3 linked regions of the Arabidopsis thaliana genome follow. The protein of the gene in region 3 interacts with the protein of the main gene of each other region in a pairwise test. Each region holds a gene or a part of one and is shown on either strand. Other genes may lie near its edges.

Region 1 (3,869 bases), on a different chromosome or scaffold from region 3:
AAAAACATACTTGAAAACTAGTCATTGGCGTTCGGTATTTTGGTTCAGTTCCGGTTCGAGAACTTCCCATGAGCCCTTTTGTAGTCTAAAAATCTATAATCTTAAATTGTGTTTTATTAATATTATTATGTTTTTATGTAATATTAATAACCTTTACCCTAGAAAAACTAATATTATTTTCTCAGTTTTATTATATTAAATTGTGTTTTTCAATTTCATATGTTATCAGACTTATATTATTATGTAATATTTTTTTACAATTGGTTGAATTGTTTAGGTTAGATATTAATTTCTGTTTTTAATATAACAAAATTATTACATAATAATTCTTGCAGTTTAGCTAAAACATCTAATAAGCTGAAGAGACAGAGTCATTTACAATTCATCAAAAAGAAAAATTGTTTTTGAAATCTTTTGATCGACAAGGCCTATCTATAGAATTGTGGATGTGTTTTGGGAAGGCATTATAGAAAATTTGTCTCATGTGGTGGTAAATGTTTTGCTGAATAAGTAAATAATAACCTTGGTTAAACTTTAAACAAAAAAAAAAGTTAATAAATAACCTTGGCTAAACAAATGTGTATAAGTTTCTGAAATTTAAAATATTATGTTCGTGATCAAGAACAGAAAACTGATGATCTTATAGGACATAACTACTTAATACATTATACATCTATAGATTGTGTATGTGTCCGTATTATACATAAAATCTCATGTATCTTTACATCAAACTTCAAATCTAAATACAAAAACAAAAAGAACATCACTAGAGATGGATCTCTCGTCGGACAAAACCCCGAAGTTTCGTCTTTCACGGTCAACTTTAGTCAAACTCCGATCCGAATCAAACCAAAAAGGGTTTTTCATTCATCGATCATAGTCATCATCTCCTTTTTAGACAAAAGATTCTCAGCTTCTCTGGATCATAAGGAAGAGTCTAGAGCAGGAGCGTCGGATCCCTTCATGATTCTGAGTCTCTTACAAGAAGAAGAGAACATGTCCCATGGAACATCACCAACCAACATCCAGTCACCATCTTTATCTTCGTATGTTGGTACAAATCCAGATCCTTTGTATCCTTCTCTCTCACAATATTCACCAATCATGACTTTGAACATATTCTCTAACGCTTTGAGAAGCTCGGGGTAGTTTTTGTATGTCTTGAGATCGATCTTGCGAAGGTAAGGAGCTCCGTCCATACTCACTTTCACGTAGCTCACACTGTTGTTGTTCTTACGGGAAGATCTCACTGGTGGCCAACCAACGATTTGAGTTCTGTAAATTTGAGGAAAGAAAGATTAGTAAAACTATTCAAGAGCCAATAATTTGAAAGAAGCCAATTTGAAACTCAGATCTCTTCTACTTACTTGGTAGGAGGTGTAGATTCTTCTTCATCACGAGTTTCCTCAAATAGACGCTTGTTGTTACTTTTAACGCAAGAAACCTCTTGTTCTTCTTTGATCTTCTCTGTTCTTCCGGGTAATCCAAGACATAGCTCTGTGTCCTTAAGGTTAAGCTCGTTGACTTTCTCGTACGCCATTGCTTTTGGATCAATATCAATCTTTGTGTTTCCTTCTTGTGTGTTTTCTTGGGTACTTTGTTCTTCTTGTCTTGTTCTTCTTCTTCTTGTTCTTGTTCTTGGTGAGCTGGTTGATGAGTTTTGGAGAAAAGGGGAGAGAGATATATATAAAGGAGCATCGAAGTTAGGGTTAAAGGAAGAGAGAGAAGTGTTGTCGGAAGCATGAAAGGCAAGAAAGAGGCAAGGGGACAAAAGTGGGACACGAAGCTTGAGGCCGCCCATGTGGACACGACTCTTTTGTTTAATTATTCCACGCTCCTCTTTTCCCTCCGCCAACTTTGTTTACGTTAACATCTTAGCCGTCCATCTCTATTGCCTCTTCTTTTTCTTTCAAAGGATGTATAATAATTATAACGAAAGAATATAAAAATGAATGAAATGATGAGAATTCTATCGGCCGACCCGGAATAAAAGCAAACAGAGAAAATATAAATAAAGTAAAGACTAAAGAGGTGTATTATAATAACATTTATTTACTGTTTCTTAAAGGTTTCTTCTTCTCTTTTTGAAAGTGTATAGTGCAGGTTATAAAGAAAATATCAAGTGCTAATGATTGTTAATCCATTTGTTGCATAATAGATATTCTTAATATATATTTAAATATAATGTGTTGTCTTAAAATTTGATGTGAAAGTTGATTATTATTTTTAGTTTACTTCTATTGATTTATTAATTTTTAACTTAAAAGATTAATAGATGTTTTGAAAGTATGATGTAAAAATTTCGATTCAGAAGAAAAAACGTATGGTGTAAAAAATGGTTAAAAGGACACTTATGTCAAATAAAGTACTATTTTATTGAATCCTGATTCCAAAATGAAGATTATTTAGAGTTTCCAAGTACTCTTATGTGTTACGAACTATTGAATGTGCATAAGTTGAATTTTATCATTTTTGCTCGTAGATGTAATTTGATTAATAAAGAAATATTAGTTTTATGGTTAAATCTCAGATAATATCGAATATTAAACGTTACATATTTGTCTTGCGAAGACATATTTATGCGTGGCATTTTGTATATTGTGAGTTGGAAAATGTTATAACATTTTGTGTGTAGATTTTGATTTTATAATAGGAGACGAAGACCCATGTGGATAAGGGTCAAATGTGTTGGTAATTGATAGAGGAATGGTAAAGCCATGTGCTTTCTTATGTGTATGTCTCTTTTAATTATTCATTTCCCTTCAAAATGGGTTGTGGGGGAGAGAGGTTCCACGTGCTATGTATTCATTGAATCATAAAACTTAAAAGAATGAACCAAAAAGTGGTAATTAATTTCTCCCCATAGATTACGCTTAACTATGTGCATTTAGCTTCTAATCCGCATGCGATTTGATGTTAACGTTAGGCTTTATTCAATGGATTTACCAATTTTGGATATTATTTGTTTTCTCTTCTTTTAAGATAAAGATTCCTTCTATGTTCTTGCCCCTTCCATCACCAAAAGATTAGATAAGTAAAAGCGATGCAAGATACGTTGCCTCTCTTCTTATAAGTAAATAATTTAGAGGTTCTGATTGTCAGAGTTTTATGTATTATTTCCAGTTAATAACGAACTCATGCAATGTATTTTCTCACAAACTGAGAGATGCACGAATGAATACCATTTGTCTGTTAAATATTGCACGAATGAATACTAAAGGTTAACCATTTACAGATTTCTAGAATCACTTAACATGGTGGGAAACAAACTTCTTGAGAATAGTTTTTTCCTGTTTGTGTGTTCATGCATGTTTTAGTCTTAGTGAAAATGTATTATAGAAACATAACTACTAGATCTATGTGATGCTTTATGCTTATATAGATGATTGCTAAAGTTATTTGTTGGTTAAACTAAACCTTTTTACTGAAAACCATTTAAGAAAGTACAAGAGAATTCAGTTACTGTTTATTATGGAGTTAATTCCATGAATATATATTGAACATTAAGTTTTGCCTAAAAAACAATATTGAACTTAAGCCAAATACATAAATCATTTTTAGATTATTTTGGTCTCTGTGGTCAATTTAATGTATTAATTTATGTACTGAATCAACAGTTGTTTGTTCTTTTATGTTAATATTTGATATTTTTTACTCTACAAGGACTACAGATTCTGATGACAATTTTAACGTACATATCTTGAAGAGGTACGTGAATAACTATATGAACTAGCTAATAGATTCTTAATTTTTTTTGGTTAGAAATATTAACCGTGTTTTAATTATCATGGTAAAAATGTTAATTATTTTCTACTTTAATTTCTCGTTTATTCAAAAAAAAAAAGTATGTCATATATGAACAATTTTGA
Region 2 (3,648 bases), on a different chromosome or scaffold from region 3:
AAGTTTCATGAAATATTTTGCGTTAACTGCTACTATAGTAAATTCGTGATTGTTACTTAATGGTCTAATTTATCCTTTAAAAAACCAAAACAAATCATTTTTGTGTGATTAGTTGTTGTAGCTAAGACATTGTCATTTTATTTTCAGTATAAGTTACTAAATTCGTTTATATATATAATTAAATTGCAAAGTATGCTACAGTATGACATATAATGAGTGCAGAAAAATAAAAGATGATGCCATAATACTATAGTGAATGAGAAAAGCCTGCGGATATTCATGCCTAATAAAAGTCTTTAACTCCTTATGGATAAGATATATATGGGAATACAAAACATTTAATTTATATTTATTTTTTATCTTACGTTCCACTGACGGATTATAAATAAATTTTTTAGGAAAAACTTTATATTTGTTTGTGTGTGCAAACTTTATATTACATATATTAGTCATCAAATGCTTCTATATATTGTGACCAATTCACAAATAATGATATAAATATATATATATTCCCATCAGTTTTTCTTGGTATAAATACAATTAATTCAATTCAAACTTATGACCTGTTCTGTCAAGAAAACGAATCTAGTAATTTATGACTGAACCAAGAAGAGAATGTTTCTCACCGTACAGAAGAAATCAATGCGTGATGAGTACTGAGTAGCTGTTAGCAGTCACCTCTAATTGTATGAATTTATTTTGTTGAAATATGTTCGTTAATCGTTAGTACTTGTTGAAAGTCACTACGTACGTATATATGTAGATAAAAAAAAAAAAAAAATTCTTTTAGGATTATTGTTACACGTATAATGTAAAGTTATAACATAAGTTCTTAACAACTCTTTGCATAGTACCGATTCGGACTTCGATTTCGAAAGCCATGCATGAGAAAACCAAAAAATGGAGCCAAAACTTAGATCCGGTTCAATTCGAGTAGGTTATGTCAAAGACGTAAACATCTACAATAGGAGCTCCATATAAGTAGAATACAACCAATGCCACGCTGTAACATAAACAAAGACAGCGAGAATCTGTTAAAGATCTCTCAGGTTCCAAAACAAAACTACAAGACCCCATTATGATGTTACTGACATTTAACTAAAGCCTTGTGCTAGTTGATCCTTAAGGAAGATGTCCTGTCGTGATGCTCAGTTTTATTTCAAATTCATATATACGTGTGTGTGTGTGTGTGGTGATCATGATTAATAGGTTAGAGACAGAGAGACAAAAGTTGTGGGCTTTAACAAACCCCAGTAAAGAACAATAAGTAATTTTGTCACGTAGGCTCTGTTTTTGGCTCTTCAACACCCAAAGTACCTGTTTTTTGAAGATGTGAGACATAAATTATTACTTATGATCTCAAGTCAATAAACTCATCAAATCTGAACTACCCACAATCCAAACATTGAACACTAGCTACCTTTACATATAGAGTTAATTAACCATCCATCTATTGAGAAAACGAGTAAAATATGTATTCGGTTGTTGTTCTTGGTAAGAAAAGATTATGAGCTTACGATCCGAAATTTCTTGGTTGTGATAAGTTATTAATGGGAGATAGAGAGAGGTGATATGCCCATATGGCATACCACATGTGGTGGGGGATTCGAAGATTTGATCTGGACCGTCTATCACAAGAAAGAAAGATGAAAATATTTTGTTTTTGGGTTTGGACAGATGGGAGAAAAAGAAAGTGTCCCCACAAATGTCCCCAAGAAGATGGGACACACTTTTGCCTCAAAGTTGCTGTTACTGCTACCGACAAGCTTAGCTTTTTTTCCTTTGTCCTTAATTCAGAAAACAGTTTCTTCTCTCTCTACCAGTATCTATCTTTATTCTCCTTTAACTTGTATAAAACACTCAGCTTCCTCGAAGCCTCTCATCTTCATCATCAGCAGCTTCTCTATATCTCTCCTCTCTTTCAAGGATAATAACCAAAAGCTTTTCTTTTTATCTTCTCCTGCAATTCTTGAAGAAATGGATGAGTTTGTTAACCTCAAGGAAACAGAGCTGAGGCTGGGATTACCGGGAACAGATAATGTATGTGAAGCAAAAGAGAGAGTTTCTTGCTGTAATAACAACAATAAGAGAGTACTATCAACTGATACTGAGAAGGAGATTGAATCATCATCAAGGAAAACTGAAACATCCCCTCCTCGAAAGTAAGTTAAACTCACACAAAAGTCTCTGAATCTGTAGTGGTGGAGAATTCAGTTGATTGACCGTGTTTCTTCCTTTTTGCAGGGCTCAGATTGTTGGATGGCCACCAGTTAGATCTTACAGGAAGAACAACATTCAGAGTAAGAAGAATGAATCTGAGCATGAGGGTCAAGGAATCTATGTGAAAGTAAGTATGGATGGTGCACCATACTTGAGGAAAATAGATCTGAGTTGTTACAAAGGATACTCAGAGTTGCTTAAAGCTTTAGAAGTGATGTTCAAATTCTCTGTGGGAGAGTACTTTGAGAGAGATGGATATAAAGGTTCAGACTTTGTGCCTACTTATGAAGACAAAGATGGTGATTGGATGCTCATTGGTGATGTTCCATGGGAGTAAGTCTTCTTTCATATACCTGTCTGAAAACAATTTCCACAAAATCAAAAATCAGAAACAACAATTTTGTAAGTGTTCTTATGGGTTCTGTTTGTTGTTGCAGGATGTTCATATGTACGTGCAAGAGACTAAGGATCATGAAAGGATCAGAAGCCAAAGGTTTAGGCTGTGGTGTATGAGATATATCTTCAAGAAATCTAACAGAGACACAAAAGAACTTGAAGAAAAATAGAGTTTCTTTTGGTTCAGAGAAATCTCTGTCTGTGCTTGGGTTGTCGGGTTTCTCGGGCAAGATCTATGTTCATTGGATTGAATCCAATTCATAGCCTTTATTTACCTCATCGGTAAAATTCAAATGTAAACATGCTTAATGGTCTTAAGCATATGAAACTGGAACCTAATTACATTTTGTTTCAGAAACAGGGCAAAAGGTTGTCCTTAAATCTTTGGTTATGTGTATTACATTAATTAAAGTGTTATGAAGATTGAAGAGTTGTTTTTATATTTGTAGCAATTCTGTTTTGCGTTCTCATTGATCAAAGAGATTTTCAAGCAATACCCATTTTCTATTTTGGTTCACTAGTTCTTAGATCATATTATTGATGGTCGAGGTTGGATTACTCCCATTAATTAATACAATTCGATCAAAGCCAACATGAACATAAATCAATAGAAACAAAAAAAAAACTTATCTTATATGAGAAATACGTTTTGCCCAAAGCTTAGGGTTCATTTCATCAGCCAAAAACAACAGACACCTACCTCTCTGCTTTCATGGCAACATATATATACGCATTAGATCCAATCAGAAGATGTAAGACTAGACAGGCCGTAGTAATGAGTGAAGCTTTTGGAATTGATGAACTGTGTTACGAGCTTCTTCGTTTTCTCAGACATGGCGGGAGAGACCTTGTTCACGCCTGAAACAGCAAAACGAATAATATATAATCAGCTTGTAAAATGCAGATTCTTTAGTTATAGAGTTTGAAAGATTGATGCAAATGTACCAATAAGACTTTCAACAAAAGTACGAAACAGAATTCCAGGAAAGAGTCGAGAGAAAACTCACCTGTAGCTTCTTCTTCTTAGGCCTT
Region 3 (7,377 bases):
GAGAGAATCAGAGATAAGTACAGTTCCTTATCAGGTGAGCTTTTCACTGTGAATGTTCGGTCTGTAGATGGGTTTCAAGGTGGTGAAGAAGACATTATCATCATCTCTACCGTTAGAAGTAATAGTAACGGGAAGGTTGGATTTCTCAGTAACCGTCAAAGAGCCAATGTGGCACTCACTCGAGCTAGGCACTGTTTATGGGTGATTGGAAATGAGTCAACACTGGCTCGGAGTGGTTCGATTTGGGCAAACCTTATAAGTGACTCGAAGAGACGTAAATGCTTCTATGATGCTAAAGATGATAAGAGATTGAGAGATGCCATGAATGCTGTCCAAGGTTGATAAGTCTGATGTGTGTGCACGTTTAAGTACTCTTTGGGTCAAAAAGAAAGGGAGAAAATGAGTTGTTGGTACTTCATCTATGTCATTCTTCAACCTAAGTTACTAGTAGAAGCTTTTGGTAACATTTTGTGATTAATGGTTGTGTTTTAAAGATTTGGTTGGTTTTGGTTTCACACCTTATGGAATCTAATTGGTCTGACCAAACTGAATGTCTAACAATGTTGTTACAAAAATAGAATAAGAATAAATACTAGAAAAGTTTAGTTACCCTGAGACAGCTACATAAAGGTTCTTATGTTTATGACGAGAGTGTCTGTCTAATACAAGCTAAAGTACGTCCTAAAGTTTCAGGACCCATACTCACAAATATGATTATGTTTCTTTCTAAAAACGTCAAAACGAGAGAGATGCGAACGAATGGCATATAAAGATGAGTGGAAACGACTTCAAATGGGAAACAAAGGGCTCCCGCGTTGTAGCATGATGAGACTAACACCGAAGCAGCTTCTAGAGATGGGTCGGGTTTTGCGGGAATAACCCACCACTGCCTTCTCCATGATCTCCCATTTGATGCACATCTTCTGGTGATAGTATCTTTATGTACCAAACGTTATTCACAAATGACCTGCAGAACAAGCTTTTAAAGATCTATCTCAAATCTAAAGCAATGTATACAAATAGAAGAAGAGTACTTTACTTACTCCCATGGGTCATCACCAAGGAGAAGAATATCATTTTCCTTGTCAACGAATACAAGCTGCCAGCCTGATCTAAGGGGGTCTTCCAACAACCCTTCGATAGCAAACATCTTCCCTAACTCTTCTCGCAGCTCGTGGTAGCTGCTGAATCGGGAGATGTCTAATGAACGCCCAACCGAACCAGATTTATAAACCTGCAGTTTTGGATTTGTAAGCATATCAGTATTTTCTTAGAGACAGTAGAGCCACAGAGAAGTCGGTGAGCCTAGAACAAACCAGCACCTTTACAAAGTTCTTGGTTTGGTTGGACGAGTTAATCTGTCCAGCTCCATGCAATAACTCATGAGTTGTGTCTTGCATGCAGCTATATAAGGAATTCTGAAATCCTGAATCTGTTAGTGACATAGGGGAAGCTTCAGCATCTCCTGATGAAGAAGCAAAGCGGGGAACCGTACTGGGGAGGAAGAGTCCAGAGTCGGGATCAACACCGAAAAGAGAGGGATTCTGCGGATTTCCGGGTTCTAGAGCAAGACTCTTCCCAGGATAGGCTTGTGGAAGTGACAACGGTTCAGAAAAAGTGTTGGATGCTTTTGGAGACCAGCCCTCTGTTGTTAACTGCTCAGGGAGTACAGACTGACCGGTTATAGAAAAATTCAAAAGATTGCCATCTCCAGAAGCCGGACTAGCAGTTGTTGCAAATTTGTTGCTTGAGTCAGTAAAATCTGACTTCATGAACGAGGGAGATGGCATCTCTGATTGCTGCTGCCACTGTTGAAGATGGCCATTTTGCATTTTGAAAGCATTAAGATATGCATTTTGGTCCGGTTGCTGTAGCTGTTGCTGCTGTCCAGCTGGTTGGTTACTAACTTCTTGTCGCATATTCTGCTGCGGAAGATTCTCACTCATAATCTGTGTTTGAGCATGCATGAGATGGCGTGACGCTTGTTGCTGCTGTTGCTGCTGAAGCATCAAATCAGAATTATGGGAAGCTGATTGTTGAAGATATTGGTGGTGAGGCTCTTGCAGCTGTACAAACTGCTGTCTTAAAGGATCTCCACCGCCGATGTTCTGCAACCCAGCAGCTAACATTGCTTGGTATTGCTGATTATTATCAGTCCCCATTTGACTGAGATCCAGCCTTTGTTGCATCCATGGAAACAAACCAACAGATGGATAATTTAGAGGAAGCAAACCTTGCTGCTCTCCACCTCCCCCTCTTAGCCATGTTAGACCACTTCCCAAATCACCCCTTCCATCTGTAACATCATAATGTTTTGAGTAAATAGCTATGGAGAGTACCTACACACTTCTTTGTAAATAAATTATAACAGTAAGACCCTCTTCAGAGCTCTACTCAATCGAACATTTGTTATTTATCCGAAGTAGCAACTAAGTTACAATAGCAGAAACACTGAGTGACAGTAAGAGACTTCACGAACGTACTATACTAGTTAATAACAGTTAGGAGAAGAGCCAAAAGGTGGATACCAGGCAAAGATGATGTGCCAGCATGCCATGGACGTTTTAGTCTGAGAGGAAAAAGAGATGGATACATAGGAAAGGTAGTCAGAGGCTCAATCTCCCATAAAGAAACCCTTGGCTGTCTCTCCCCTGCAGTCGATTCATCCCAACCAACCTACACCAATAATGCCACAGTTCATCAATGTTGATGGAATTTCAGAGTAATATTGGACTAAATCATCAGAAAGCTGTGTGACGTTCCATGGAATTTAAATAAGGTAACAGGCTTAATAGTGTTGTTACCTTCACAGATCGCCAATGAGAGTTTGGCCAACGAACAGAATCTAGATCACTAATACCAGTTATAGTACCCATGTACCTGGAAAGTTCCCCATGCCACTGTCAGAAAACATGTTAAAGTAATATGTGTAACATAATGATATAGTTTTCTCAGTTTCAAGATTGCATTTCCAGATATGTGGCATCATCACCTGCGGACACTCGACTCTTCTGTCTCGAAGAGCATGCGAAAGCGCATCCCAACTGAAATACGCGTGTGAAAAACGGCTTTAATGTACTTGGAAAGTTGTATCACAAACTCAGATTGGCTAGCCCTGAACATGAAGAGAATATTAGTAGGATATATTATCGGATATACCGAGAGATGAAAAAGATGCAGGTGGGAGAGATTTTTCAACCTTGGATGAAAGAAAACAGTGAAACAGCTATTAGTTGCAGAAGCATGTGCAGCAGCAGCAAGGAGTCCAATATGCATGCTATCACTAGATAAAACAGATGATGGTACAATAGTCTGCGGCCGAGTGGCATGACGAATTCCCAAAAAGAGTTGATTCTTTTCATTCCTGGAAACAAGTAATAGTGTTACAAATATAATCACAATCCACAAACTGAACGTACAACAAAAGAACTAAACCTGATGAAAATGACAGAATCTCCAGCTACTAGTCGCTTGGCACTGACAAAGACACTCCATCCAGTAGTTAGGAGATGCCGTTTGGGCTGTCCTGCATAATCACACCAAAACCATGTAAGTTATTCCTAACAAACCAAGAAGAAGGATTCAAATCAACTTAACTTCATATGAACAAGTAAATAATTCCACGTTATAATAGACAACGACAAGAACACAGAGCCTCCGTGGTTTCTTCAACTAAACCACACATGAGTAGTGAAAATAACAGCAGATGCTGCTTCAGACATACTTAACAGCCAATTGAAATTTTTACACTGGCGACTACAGTTAAAAAGGGATCATCAACGCACACCGAGGAAAGGTGAAACCTACCCCGAAAGATATGCCTAAACTTCCATTCAACATCATGGAGATCCCTTGCAATCAGTTCTTGAGCTGGTGGCTGCAGTGTGTAATCCTGCAACAGGGAAGACACAAGATATTAAAAGGAATACATATATTTTCTCAACAACAATTTATAGCAAAGTAAGTAAAAGAAAAAGTATAATACCAATGGAGGAAACACTTTCTCAGCAGCACGTCTAGGAACAGAAAACCCTCCATGTGTACTGGTATCACTAGCTGTGAGAGTCTTACAAAAATAATTACTAGGTTGCTTACTCGGTATCCCCAACTCAATCGGTACAAATGTTTCCTTCTGCTCCTCCTATAAACAACACCAATCCTAAAGCTTAAGTTATTAATTCACAGACTCAAAAACCTGTTATGTATAATGTATCTACCGGTGTCAATGGTTGAAGTGTCATTTGAGCATAGACTTCATCCGTCTCAACATCTGCCTGAAATAGTAGAAACGAAACCCATACTTACAAAGCACATCATCCCAAAACTAGTTTACAAAAGTAAAAATTGAATATGGAAAGGGACAGGGAACTAACTACGCACATGCATTGTAACATTATGGAGCTGGCATATCAATTGTGGTGGTAGGCTTGGGTAATTGGGTATGTGACCATCAACTTCCTTATTAGTTGTAGCAGCTACCTACAAGTACACTTCTATTTAAATGGAAATGCCCAAATATAACACAAGTCTAAAAATAAAGCTCCATACTTTTAAACAACAACCCAAACCTGTTCACTGTGACCCTGTGGAAAGTAAACAACTCGACTACCAGATGATGGAAGAGAGACTAATGGTCCAGCACAAGCATGCCATAGCTCAGAATTCAGACACTTCTCTCCTGTTAGAACAAACACAGACACAAGAACTAAGAAAACACTTGTCCAGAAACAGAACTAAGAAAATCAGAGAGTAAACAAGTCACCTTCATGACCCTGTTGACCCAATCCAGATGTTGACAGCTTCATGTCTAATTCAACTTCAAGAAACCAAACTTTGAAAACCCTAATTTTTCCGTACAATCTATTAAAAAATCTTCTTCACTTCCAGCTACTACAGTAGCTATAACTCTTTAGCTCCGGAAGTACAAACTCGTCTTTCTCCATCTCCTTTGTTCAAACCCCCAAAAATCTCACTCACAACCATAAGACTCAGTGAAAGCTTCGAATCAAAAAACCATCCATAAAACCCTTAAACACAAGAAACAGAACAAACCCCATTTCTTCAAAACCAGAATCTGTTTCTTCTCATCATCAAACCATGAACAACAACACAAGCTCTCTACTACAAGTACGCATTGAAGCAACCCCAACAGAAAAAAAAAAACTCTTGTCTTTGAGATCTTTGTGGATGAAAAAATGAAAGAAACAAGACAAAAGAACAAATCTTTCTTCTTCAACAACTTGACTTCTCTCGTGGGTAAAAAATTAAATCTCTTGAAGCAGTTCCATCACTGTCCAAGAGAGACACTTTGGCTTTCAAAAACAGAAGAGAGAGAGAGAAAGAAATGGTTAGTGAGAGAAAAAGATATGTGTCAGAGAGAGAAAAGAAGAGTGCGTGGGGGTGAAAGAGAGAGAGAAAAGAAGAAGAAAGTGAGTAAGTGGTTTTCCTCCTCTTATAAGAGACCCGACCCGACTCCACCCGACCCGGATTTGACCCGGATCCGATACAGTGGAGAGAAGGAAGAAGAAGAGAGGTCCTACTAACGAGAATTATGAGAGGTGGTGTCAGTACCAGAGTCACTTCTTTTTGACCGTTGGATTTGACTCTTGAGATCTTGATCGTTGAAAAATAATAATTGTTTTTTTTGAGGTCTTGGATTCGATGAAAAGGACAATGAATTATAGTATTTGAAGTGAGAGAGTGAGAGAGAGATAATAGAGTTGTCATAAATGTTAGCGTTGTTTATTTTAAATACTTTTTATTTTTGCTCCATTCATTGATGAAAGAAACACCAAATACTCCCATAATTTGATTTATTTAAAGATAATTTATAGTAGTATTTAATTTAATAACTCAAAAAATATTTTGTTGGATCTTTTATGAGTTCGTTGAAAAAATGGTCAAAGGTTTATCTATTGATAAGTGATGTATTATTAGATTCGCAAATCTAAGTTCTAATTTAGAAACAATCATTAGCAAATAGATGCCCGATAATCCAACATCTTATGGATACCACTATTTTACTTACCAAAAGAGAAAACTAATACACATGGATCTTGTTTGAATAATTTTTAAAAAATTTGGGATATGGAGTGTATCACTTGGAGAAGCTGGATTTGGAATAATCTTTGCAAGTTAAGACCCTTAACTAGGTTTTTCATCGTTTGTGAAATTGGTTCAGAAATAACTTGTAATTTCTGGACTGATAATTGGATTTTTTTGGGACCATATTTGTCGAGCTAACCTGAAGATTTATGACTAAGAATTTCTCTTCTCCCTCGTTCTGTTGTGGTTGCGGATGCATTGAGAAAGAGACAATAGTGGCTTACAAATTCTCGAAGTCGCAGTCCCATTATTCAGTTGCTTAAAGAATGTCTTCCTTCCTATTCTACTGTTAACTTACAAGAGGATGTAGAGGATGATGTTTACCTTTGGAAGGTGATGATATCCATGCATCAAATATTTTCTCTGCTGCTAAAACTTAGGCACATTAATATTCAAAAAAAAACTTATGCACATCTTCATCCTCCTGACACAAAGATGGATCGGTTTGAATCTGTGTGATTTCCAGGAAGGATTCTTAAGCATGCTTTCATTGCTTGGCTAAAGTCTCATCATAGACTTCTCACTAGAGACAAAATGATTCGATGGGGCATGACTACTCCTTCGTCGTGTCTTCTCTGTAATTTGATGGATGAATCTCGCTAACATTTATTCTTCGACTGCTCTTATGTTGCAAAGGTATGACACTATTTCTATGATAAAGCCCATCTTTCTCCTCTAAATCAATTTGAGGATGAAGTTAGATGGTTGAAGAATCCTTGTCGTGACAAGAAAACTACTTTGATTCTTCGAATTGCCTATCAAGCCTCACTGTACTCCATATGGAAAAAAGCGCAATGCAAGATTGCATAATTCATCCTCAAAGCCAGCCTCAGTTCTCATTATTTATCATTAACATTCTTCAATGTCATCTAGACCCTTGTTGGATAGCTCAACGGATCATTCATCTGGTTTGGTGTCTTTCAATAAATTTATTGTAATACTTTTGTTATCTCATTTATTTCGATTGTAGGTTCAATTTTCCTTGGTGTAACTTTTCCACTTCTATTATATGAAAGATATGTTTTTTGAATAAAAAAAACTGCTAAATGGAAGTTTCCTTCGTTCTATCGATGGTAATATCGTGCGATACGTCGCAATCATTTATATAACTCAACGATTGATTTTTTAAAACAACATGATGTCAAATTATATGGGCTCATCATCATGGGCACAAAACAAATACTATTACATGAAATTAAATTTAAAATTAAGATTACTATAATTTCAATATATTTTAAATTTATCAATTAATTATTTTCAGTGGACATAAAT

What was found. The genes of interacting proteins can lie anywhere in the genome.
Region 1: the proteins of ARF8 (region 3) and IAA2 interact in binary tests that used the Arabidopsis thaliana proteins (3 or more experiments, as listed by UniProt).
Region 2: the proteins of ARF8 (region 3) and SHY2 interact in a two-hybrid assay, tested with the Arabidopsis thaliana proteins (2 studies listed by BioGRID).

Annotation. Positions count from the first base shown.
Region 1 is NC_003074.8:8,180,146-8,184,014, forward strand, and holds IAA2 (indole-3-acetic acid inducible 2), read right to left. Parts: upstream 1,951-3,869; 5' UTR 1,802-1,950; coding exon 1,368-1,801; intron 1,276-1,367; coding exon 924-1,275; 3' UTR 501-923; downstream 1-500. UniProt on the Arabidopsis thaliana protein: Aux/IAA proteins are short-lived transcriptional factors that function as repressors of early auxin response genes at low auxin concentrations.
Region 2 is NC_003070.9:1,127,649-1,131,296, reverse strand, and holds SHY2 (AUX/IAA transcriptional regulator family protein), read left to right. Parts: upstream 1-1,607; 5' UTR 1,608-1,677; coding exon 1,678-2,162; intron 2,163-2,244; coding exon 2,245-2,553; exon of another isoform or gene 2,554-2,657; coding exon 2,658-2,733; 3' UTR 2,734-3,148; downstream 3,149-3,648. Other genes in the region: AT1G04230 (rRNA-processing EFG1-like protein (DUF2361)), read right to left, coding at 3,469-3,474, 3,624-3,648. UniProt on the Arabidopsis thaliana protein: Aux/IAA proteins are short-lived transcriptional factors that function as repressors of early auxin response genes at low auxin concentrations.
Region 3 is NC_003076.8:14,627,579-14,634,955, reverse strand, and holds ARF8 (auxin response factor 8), read right to left. Parts: upstream 5,504-7,377; 5' UTR 4,806-5,503; coding exon 4,763-4,805; intron 4,679-4,762; coding exon 4,569-4,678; intron 4,480-4,568; coding exon 4,381-4,479; exon of another isoform or gene 4,275-4,380; coding exon 4,218-4,274; intron 4,142-4,217; coding exon 3,986-4,141; intron 3,893-3,985; coding exon 3,808-3,892; intron 3,527-3,807; coding exon 3,436-3,526; intron 3,365-3,435; coding exon 3,200-3,364; intron 3,116-3,199; coding exon 2,993-3,115; intron 2,881-2,992; coding exon 2,805-2,880; intron 2,677-2,804; coding exon 2,529-2,676; intron 2,297-2,528; coding exon 1,323-2,296; intron 1,235-1,322; coding exon 1,044-1,234; coding exon of another isoform or gene 1,040-1,043; intron 968-1,039; coding exon 850-967; 3' UTR 502-849; downstream 1-501. Other genes in the region: AT5G37030 (P-loop containing nucleoside triphosphate hydrolases superfamily protein), read left to right, coding at 1-342. UniProt on the Arabidopsis thaliana protein: Auxin response factors (ARFs) are transcriptional factors that bind specifically to the DNA sequence 5'-TGTCTC-3' found in the auxin-responsive promoter elements (AuxREs). Seems to act as transcriptional activator.